2 linked regions of the Yarrowia lipolytica genome follow. The protein of the gene in region 1 interacts with the protein of each later gene in a pairwise test. Links are inferred from orthologs where the notes say so. Each region holds a gene or a part of one and is shown on either strand. Other genes may lie near its edges.

Region 1 (4,699 bases):
CGTGGTATATGGACAGCGGAGTCGGTTTCAGTAGCGTTCTGTAAGATTTTGGCGGAACTGTAGGCTCCTGTGTCTCTTGTTGGTTCTGGTTTTGTTGTTGATTCTGCTGTTGATTCTGTTGCTGATTAGGATCCTGACCATTTTGCTGTTGATTTTGCTGCTGTTGCTGCTCCGTCTCCTCGGTCTTGTCGGGAACTCCTCGATAATCGACAATCTCCAAAATAATACATCCCTCGTAAAACCGCATACCTGCATCCTTGAACACCTCTGTGGCCGCCAGCGGAATCTGCTCCTCCTTAACGTACTCAAGAAAGATTTTGATGAGCGGCGAGTTTTTCGGAATCACGCTCTCCTGGCTGCCAAACCGGAAATGTGTCTTGTGAATATGTAGCTCCAACGATGGAGCATCCTTCTCGTACTTTTTCAACAACGATTCCGTCGTTTCGCTGAAGAAATACGCGCGTCGACGTCGAGCAGCTTGTTGCTGCTGCTGCTGCTGGGCCGTGGTCGCCCCGCCGGCAGCGGCTCCAGCCGGATTCCCCTGTGCTTTGTTCATGGCGACGATATACTGAGCGTGTCTCGAAACATGCGTCATGTTGAATAACCAGGTTAGGGTTTGTGGAAGATTACTAAGCACAAACAGGAGGATGTCATTGATGAGGGGCCAGTATATCGCAATAATATATGACAGTGGTAAAACGGAGAACGAATAATAGCATATATACATTTTATGCCATCACGTGACATACACAGAGGTCTTATATGTTGGTTGAAGTCCTTATGGGTCGCGTGACTACATACGGGGATAGTACTTGTATATCAGGAGATTGTTGTCAAGTAACTGAACTGAAAGGCGTCCTACTATAACAAACTATATGATACTGTATACCAGTCAATTGATAGTGGTGGTTAGTCATTACTTGTACACTTGTGGTTGTGACAATGGTTGATTCAGTATCTACTCGTACATCCTTCGATTCCGTAGAGGGATATCAATGGGATTGAATGTGGAGTATGTGGTCATATGGTGATACTGAGACGTCAGAGAACATATAGCCATGCCATGCCTCTTAAACAGATCGTTTCCCACTTCACCTCTCTCTACCCACTCTTATGCTATTCAGTTTCTCCATGCACAATACAACTCACATCATACGCTGCTCTTATCGTACATCTGAGACATTGATTTATCTCCGAAGACGCGTTTTATGGATATGTATCAATTGTGTCGTACAGTGCTCGTACTGGTAACACCTTCTCAGGTCTACTGATTGGCATGCTGCTATCTGCACACATTGTTCATCTGCAGAACTACACGGAACGCTACAGACACACTTGGTTGCTACAACACAGTCAAAACTCATTATTCTTTGTGCTCTCCCTATTGAGCATACGTCTCTTGCGAGTTATCTATCTAAGCAGTAGCGGCCCAGGCCTTCTGGACACCCATAATACCGGTAGCGAAACCAGCCAGGCCGACGAGACCGTCATCGAGGTGCAGGTAGCCGAGAGAGGTGAGGGGGATGGAGAAATCGAGGAGATCCCAGACCAGCTGCTTCTGGGCAGCGGCAGCGTCCTTGTCGTTCTTCTTGGCGGAGGTGGTGTCCTTCTCCTTCTCTGCTGCCAGAGCAGCTCGCTTCTTCTTGCAGATGTTGATCTTGTGGATGGAGTTGAGAATGTTGCAGAAGATACCAAAGGCCCAGAAGTAGGAGCCGACCTTCTTGATGGTCTTGATGTTGTCAATCTTCTTGATGCCGGAGCCGTTGATGTAGATGATGGAGTCAAAGACCAGGTAGATGGCGTAGCCGAGGTTTCGGCCAATGGTTGTGTATCGCAGACAAGGGTCCAGGGTCTTGTTCTCGAACGACACGGCGGCGGTCTTGAGATGGCCAATGGGCTTTCCAACTCGGAACAGCTTTCGGGCCATGGAGAACTGGTTCTGGATCTTTCGGAAAATATCAATGGTGTCCTTGGTGTAGCCCTTTCGGAACAGGTAGTAGGTCAGGAACCGCGAGAAGTACTGGATGGACCGCAGGATCTTGTCTCGACCGACGTGGGTCTCAAGCAGCTTGACCACTCGGGTCACGGTGGGGTTCTGGGCGAGGCAAACGGACATCTTTTTTGTGTGTGTTGGCGTGAAGAAGGGGAGACTCTAGGGTTTTAAAAACGGTCTTCGTCACCACCGCAAATAAGCTCAGCTGGGGTAAGGTTGCCGAACTAAATGTACCGAGGCTAGTTTTCACGTGGAGAAGGTCCCACCATGTGTATATAAGGGGGGGACGGAGCGCTGTTTGCACGGTTGTAAAGCTGCGAACCAGTAGATTGCCACTCGGTGGTTGGATTGCTGGCTTCAGCCGTTTAATTCGGTTGCAGCAAACTTGTTTCACGTTCAGCCAATCCGCAGGCACGCAAATCGGGCAAAGCCGGAGAACGGTGTATATAGCAAAACACGACAATGTCCGAGCCGGTCTGCGTGGCATATATATGTTCGAGTACTTGTATATATATTATATTTGTTATTATGGCAACGGTTTCCAGTGCAGGGGTCGCAGGATTGAATACCCCGCCTTTAGTACTGCGATATTCGACGTTATTTTCACGACTCTTTGAGCACTTAAATTTCAGCACCCACTCCACTCCACGCCTACGCACTCAGCTTACTCCTTGACCAGGCCCATTGGACCATTCATACCTTGTGTGTGAGAGAGCATGGCAAGTGCGTGGGGTGCGTGCAGCTCCCCAATCAAAAATACCCCAAGTCCGAGAGTTTATACATTATGGGGAAGAGTATGGGGTGCAGATCAAGTCCGATAAATGGTGGGTTTTTCAGACCGTCTTTTTTTGGGATTATTTCTTCTCCGCGCGTGAGTTCGATTTCCGCAGATGATGTAATCGTGATTACAAGTTGGAACACTGTGTGGGGTGCCAAGCGGTGAGTGACAGGTGTTGCCACCAGGTTCGACACTGTACATTGACGACTGTTGCCGGGCTTGTAACAGTGGTCCGCACGTAAAGACGGTTCGACACGTGTGTCACCGGGTAGATATTATGGCTTGCCCCCGAACTGGACCAGATTGACTCTGGGCAACTATCTCGACAACGGTGGTCTACATCCGAGTGCCAGTACAATACCAGTAGTTGAAAGTATGACTATGTACAGTACATACAAGTACAAGAGCTTGTGCGATTGCGAATACTGACTAGACTGCCGGCTCAGTACTGGAACAGCAATGGATGAGACACAGAGATTGCCAATCTCCATAACTGCTAGACCTGCTAAACGGTATCCCTTAGACCAGATGCAGTCTTTGTATGTAGCGGTACGAGTACAAGTACAGTACATGCTGTACATCGAAAAGCATCAAGTGAGCGGGGTTCGGGATCAATCAGAATGGGTTGGCACTGAAGAGAGCATACCTGACCAACAAGGGTGGAGTACGAGTACAAGTGGTGGTACAGTATGTATGCAATACTTGAGGGCGGTCAGTAGGCATCGTACAATGTTACACGTGACCAAACCTGATCATTCCGGCAACACAAGTACTTGTATATAGGCAAGTCCGGGGGATTATACTGGCCATGAGTTTGAGAGCATGGATGGAGTGGAAGGTGGAGAATGCAGTGGCTTTGATAGTGACGCTTGATATAGTAGCACCCAACATGGTATATACTGTAGTGTACAAGTAGAGAGAGAGTCTTGTTTATTCAACGGAAATGCACTTACTATACGGCACTTACGAGTACAAGTAGCTAGATATTCCACAGCTAGATATTCCACAGCTAGATATTCCACAAGCATCCCGAACTCCTGTCTCGACCCTAATTTTCATTTGACTATAATTAACATAAAATGTTCCATAACTACTTGCACTGTAGCTCTATCCCCATTTCGGTTCCGTTTCGTCTTGTCTAGTGGGTACCCAGGGACGGTCGTACCAGTACGAGTAATAGTGTCGTAGGTACCACACTGAGAGGAGCTTGCAGGATAAACGGGCCGTAGACAGCTGACATGCATCCAACCGAGCAGTTGAAACTGTTGAAACCGATTGTTAGCTCTCACAACTGTTTTTGGCGATTGTGATAATTGGCCTCTTCGCGGGAGTATGCTCCATCACGATGAAGGGGTTAAATCGCACACATGTAGACGCGTACCACTCGTATGTACTGTACGTGTGCTTGTATGAGTTTATAAAGCAATATAGTCACATGTACTTGCAATACAGAGCAAGTAACGCCAGATTAACCGCTCTTGTTTCGAACTCGTTCATTCAAACGAATTACTAATTAGTGAAGCCTGATATTTGATAAATCATGTCTGGTTTTGGGACATGTCGCAGACTCGTTTCACACACCATCTTTAATCCCTCCCACCAGAGAGATTCATACAGCGCTGTATAAACACTACAATAGCCCATTCAGCGCTCCAAACACTCTTTAGTTGCTTGGTAAAGCTTTCAAATTGGGGATTCTCTTTCTCCAAGCGAAGTTCCGAGGAATTATCAATCAGCTTTTCTTTTTCGCATTTTCTGGACTCTCAAATACACTCCTTCGTATATCTATGCACAGTGACGTGACGGCGTGGGGGCCAAATCAAAAGAGTGTGCAGGCAGCAACAGACTAGACCATACAACACAATAACAAACAATGGTACAAGTAGACGCCATGACCATGTTCCTATGACAACAGTCAGTCAACTCCA
Region 2 (5,693 bases), on another chromosome or scaffold:
CGAGGATTCGGATGAGGAGTCTGAGGAGTCAGAAGAGGAAGGCACCAAAAAAGTGAAGGCGGCTGCCGAGGAGGAGATCGAGGAAGATGTCGAGGAAGAGGAAGAAGATGAAGACGAGCAGGAGGAGGAGGATGAGGACGAAGATGAGGACGAAGATGAGGACGAGGAAGAGGAAGACGAGGAAGATGACGAGTATACCGAAATCGTCACCAAAAAGACAAAGGGTTCTTCTTTCAAGGAATGGATCGATGAACAGTCTGGACCCAAGTCTTCCAACATCGAGGATCTCTCGCATATCAAGATCAAGAAAGAAAGAGTGGACAGAGACGAGGACCGCCTTACTCCTCCTCCCGAAGACATTGCCCAACCCGAGTACGCCAAAAGAAAGGCCTTTTATGTCAACGTTCAGCGAGACCCTGAAATCCAGACCTCCCGAATGAACCTTCCTGTCACCGGAGAAGAACAGAGAATCATGGAAGCCATTTTCAACAACGATTGTGTCATCATCTGTGGTGAAACTGGTTCAGGTAAGACTACACAGACTCCTCAATTCCTGATCGAGGCGGGTTTCGGAACGAAGGGTAGTGACTACCCTGGTATGATCGGTGTCACCCAGCCTCGACGAGTGGCCGCCATCTCTATGGCGCAACGTGTTGCTAACGAGTTGGGTAACCAAGGTGATAGAGTTGCCCATCAGGTGCGATTCGATGTCACCGTGAAGGATAATACAGCTCTCAAGTTCATGACTGATGGTGTGTTGCTGCGAGAACTGTCCCAAGACTTTGCTCTTACCAAGTACTCTGCTCTGGTAATTGATGAGGCCCATGAACGTAACATCAACACTGATATTCTCATTGGTGTGCTTTCTCGAGTTCTCAAGTTGCGAAAGGAGATGTTCAACGAAGGCAAGTGCGAGTCTCCCCTCAAGCTCATTATCATGTCTGCTACTCTGCGGGTTTCCGATTTCACAGAGAACAAGACTCTTTTCCCAGTTCCTCCTCCTGTTCTCAAGGTTGAGGCCCGACAATATCCCGTTTCTGTCCACTTCAACAAACGAACAACTTACGACTACATGGACGAGATCTACCGAAAGACCTGCAAGATCCACAAACGACTGCCCGATGGTGGTATTCTGATCTTCCTGACTGGCCAAAACGAGATTGTTAACGTGGTCAAGCGGCTTCGGAAGGCCTTCCCTGATCGAACTAAGGTGTGGCGGCCCAAGGACAAGTCTGAGGATCTCCAGGTCAAGGTGTCTGCCAATGAGACTGTAGTGGAGGCCGAGGAGGTTGATTTTGGCGCCGATATGCGACAACAGGACTATGCTGCTGTCGAGGGAGAGTCTGAGACAGATGAGGAGGACGGAGAAGAAGGTTTCGAAGAGGAGCTTGCTGTCGAGGAGCGAAATGAGTCTGCTCCTCTGCACGTGCTTCCTCTTTACTCTCTGCTGCCTACCAAGGAGCAGATGAAGGTGTTTGAGGAGGTTCCTGCCGGCCATCGACTGTGTGTCGTTGCTACTAACGTTGCTGAAACTTCGCTGACCATTCCTGGTATCAGATATGTGGTTGATTGTGGTCGAGCAAAGGAGCGAAAGTACGATGAAGAGACTGGTGTTCAGTCCTTTGAGGTTGATTTCATCTCCAAGGCTTCTGCCGATCAGCGAGCTGGTCGTGCCGGTCGAACTGGTCCCGGTCACTGCTACCGTGTCTTCTCATCTGCCGTCTATGAGGAGTTCTTCCCTCAATTCTCCATCCCCGAGATTCTCCGATGCCCTGTTGAGGGCATTGTTCTGGAGATGAAACACATGGGTATTGACAAGGTGGTCAACTTCCCCTTCCCCACTCCCCCCGACAGACAGTCCCTGGCCAAGGCCGAGAAGCTGCTGGAGTACCTAGGTGCCCTCAGCAACACTGGTGTTATTTCTGATATGGGTAAGCAGATGTCTCTGTTCCCTCTGTCCCCGCGATTCGCCAAGATGCTCATTATTGGTTCTCAGCTCGAGTGCCTGCCTTACATGGTTGCCATTGTTGCTGCTCTCACAGTTGGAGATCCCTTCATTGGAGAGCACGAGCTTGGCATCAATGAGAAACCACAGAAGCCCAAGGTTGAGGAGGTTGATGAAGACGGAGACCGGATTAAGAGCAACGAGTCTGACTCCGAGCCCGAGGACATTTACGAGATTGAGCGAAAGCGAAAGCTGCGATCCAGCTACCATAAGGCCCAGGCAAAGCTGGCCTCCCTGGACCCTGCATCTGACGCTCTGAAGCTGCTCTCTGCCGTCTGCGCCATGGACTACGATTCCGACCTGGAGAACTTCTGCAAGGGCTTCTTCCTGCGACACAAGCTGATGGAGGAGATGCGAAAGCTGAGACAGCAACTGAGCCGAATCGTTGTGGCCAACTCCGACCCTCGAGCAGCTCCTATGCTCAAGGAACAGTTGAATGCCAAGCTCAAGCCTCCTTCTAAGCTCCAGATCAAGGCTCTCAAGCAGATGATTGCCACTGGTTTTGTTGACCAGGTGGCTCAGCGTCTGGACAAGGTCAGCGAGGACTACAAGCTCACTTCTCGAGAGCGAATCATCAACGTTCCCTACCAGACTCTGTTCCCCACCTCCACCACCAACAAGAAGACTGACGACCAAGGAAACCCTCTGCCTGACGACACTCAGGTGTTCATTCACCCCGGATCTGTCATTAACACTATGGGAACTCATCCTCCCGAAATGTTGGTATTTGCTTCCGTCAACCGATCGGGATCTTCCAAGCTGAGAATCAAGCCTCTCTGTGATATCACATCTGCCCAGATTGGCAACATTGCCAAGGGCACTGCTCTACTCACATACTCCAAGCCCCTGCCTCCCCCCTACGGCCCCAAGATGATCACCAGTACCTCTCGAGAGTGTTGGGTGGTTCCTCGGCTGGGAGCTGCTATTGGCTCTGGAGGCACTGGATGGGATCTGCCTCCTATTAAGGTGAAACAGGAGAAGAAGGGTAGCCAGTGGGTTACCTTGTAAAAATTGCCATAGCAACAAACGAACAAAAACCATAGCATGTTTATATTGTATTAGATTTCTTCATAATTTTAGGGAAACACACTGTATCTTCACTTCGTAGCTACAGCACTTACTAAGCACTTTTTACATCCTCGGTAAGTAATTAGGTTTGTGCATCCATACCCCACATAAAGTTGAACATGAAAGAAGGGAAGACTGATTTGCCCCCACAGCACCAGACAACCAGCAATACGGCGGTTGATCATTGTTAAGCCAAACGATTGGAACCTGATCATATCATATCAACCCAAAACGACCTTTCCTCACGACAAAAAATGGACTACTTTTCGTCACTCAACGCGAGCCAGCTGGATCCTGATGTGCCCACACTGTTTGAGCTTCTGTCTGCTAAACAGCTGGAGGGTCTGATTGCCCCTTCGGTTCGATATATTCTTGCATTCTACGCCCAGAGACATCCGCGGTATCTACTGCGAATCGTCAACCGCTACGACGAGCTGTACGCGTTGTTCATGGGTCTGGTGGAGTACTATAATCTCAAGACATGGAATGCCAGCTTCACAGAAAAGTTCTACGGTCTGAAACGAACACAGATCCTGACGAATCCCGCACTGAGAACACGCCAGGCCGTGCCGGATCTGGTCGAGGCTGAAAAACGGCTGAGCAAGAAGAAAATCTGGGGATCACTCTTTTTCCTCATTGTGGTGCCATATGTGAAGGAGAAGTTGGATGCGCGATACGAGAGACTCAAGGGCCGGTACCTAGCTAGGGATATCAATGAGGAGCGAATCGAGATCAAGAGAACAGGTACGGCCCAACAAATAGCAGTCTTCGAGTTTGACTACTGGCTTCTCAAGCTCTACCCCATTGTCACCATGGGATGCACCACTGCCACCCTGGCCTTCCACATGCTCTTCCTCTTCTCCGTCACGAGGGCGTATAGCATTGATGACTTCCTGCTTAACATTCAGTTCTCTCGAATGACCCGGTACGACTACCAGATGGAGACCCAGAGAGATAGCAGAAACGCTGCTAACGTGGCCCATACCATGAAGTCCATCTCCGAGTACCCCGTTGCAGAGCGTGTGATGCTGCTGCTCACAACAAAGGCTGGAGCCAACGCCATGCGATCTGCTGCTCTTAGCGGCCTTTCGTATGTGCTTCCCACTTCTATTTTCGCCCTCAAGTTCCTTGAGTGGTGGTACGCGTCTGATTTCGCTCGACAGCTGAATCAAAAGAGACGAGGAGACTTGGAAGACAATCTTCCGGTGCCAGATAAGGTCAAGGGAGCCGACAAACTTGCGGAGTCCGTGGCAAAGTGGAAGGAGGACACCTCCAAGTGCCCTCTCTGTAGCAAGGAGCTGGTCAATCCTACAGTCATTGAGTCAGGTTATGTGTTTTGCTACACTTGCATTTACCGACATTTGGAGGATGGAGACGAGGAGACAGGCGGTCGATGTCCCGTGACTGGCCAGAAGCTGCTGGGATGCAGATGGCAGGACGATGTATGGCAGGTGACCGGTCTGAGACGACTGATGGTGTAACGATACATACTATAGCATAACATGTACATTTAAACGCATCTTTTATCTTTATGCGACAGGGCGTGTTTGCGCGCTTCCCATTGTAAAATTACAGTACATTGTATAACTTATATGAACCTCCTGTCGAATCTCGACCTTTACCTTTTGTTTCCGATTGTATTCTCCTTCTCCTAAATTGGCTTAATCTTGAAATGCAGACCCACCAGAGAAAACACCAGGGCCTTGATATCCTGAACCAGATAGTAGAACGTCCGCAGACCTTCGGGGTCGTCCGATCTCTGCACATCCGACAAGGATCCTATTCGACCAGTCTCGAATGCAATGTGGTAGTTGGCAAATTTGATTTCCAGCTCCTGTTTACCGTCTCTGTTCTTTGGCGGCCACTTGGCATCGTTTTCCTTGAGGATTTCCGACTCTTTGATCATCTTCTTGAGCACCTTGACCACCACTGGTGAAACAGCCACTTCTCGACGGATAAGAGTGTCATTCTTGTAGTTCGAGTTGTTGGCGTATCGCAGCAGCGCAGATCGACCCTGGTCCAGCAACTGAAAGTCGAATTCCAAAAACTCATGGCCAAATCGACCCGTGTGGCCCGAGTAGTATTGTAGATAAAAGGCTTCTTCTTTGGCGTCTACCCTCAGAGAGAGGGGCTTTTCGATAAGATCATCTTCAGGCTCCACTACTTCGAGCTCCTCCTCCATCTGCACGTCCTCTCCGGGACGCGTGGCAATGCTGTATTCCTCTTCTTCCGCCATGTTGGATTTTCGTTTCTCTGTTCACGTCCTCGTTTGAAGATGTCGTGCAGTGCAGCAATCAAGGTTAGGGTTGGAGATGGATGCATGTAAGTAAATACTTACCAGAAATGGTTAGGGTGTAGTTGGGTAAAAGTGATAACAATAGAGTTTAATGTTTTTTTTTTTATATAAAAAAACAAAAAACAAAAAACAACAACAGCAAAGACGAGTAGACATTATCTGTAGTTAAGAAGGGTACAATATTTACAGATAAAGCACCTAAGCTAGGCATGTAAACATATCCCTGACGATTTTTGCTCATATGTTCCTATTACTCACACTGACCAGCATATTTTTTTTATGACACCTTCGCCTGATGCTCACACATACCCCTATGAATCTCTT

What was found. The genes of interacting proteins can lie anywhere in the genome.
Region 2: the proteins of YALI1_C05386g (region 1) and YALI1_D35190g interact in a protein complementation assay, tested with the Saccharomyces cerevisiae proteins (2 studies listed by BioGRID). The link is inferred for Yarrowia lipolytica from reciprocal best matches to the Saccharomyces cerevisiae genes PEX11 and PEX12.

Annotation. Positions count from the first base shown.
Region 1 is NC_090772.1:536,487-541,185, forward strand, and holds YALI1_C05386g (uncharacterized protein), read right to left. Parts: upstream 2,117-4,699; coding exon 1,415-2,116; downstream 1-1,414. Other genes in the region: YALI1_C05372g (uncharacterized protein), read right to left, coding at 1-727. UniProt on the Saccharomyces cerevisiae protein: Involved in peroxisomal proliferation. Promotes peroxisome division and biogenesis.
Region 2 is NC_090773.1:3,515,608-3,521,300, forward strand, and holds YALI1_D35190g (uncharacterized protein), read left to right. Parts: upstream 1-3,327; coding exon 3,328-4,554; downstream 4,555-5,693. Other genes in the region: YALI1_D35148g (uncharacterized protein), read left to right, coding at 1-3,013; YALI1_D35210g (uncharacterized protein), read right to left, coding at 4,725-5,309. UniProt on the Saccharomyces cerevisiae protein: Component of a retrotranslocation channel required for peroxisome organization by mediating export of the PEX5 receptor from peroxisomes to the cytosol, thereby promoting PEX5 recycling.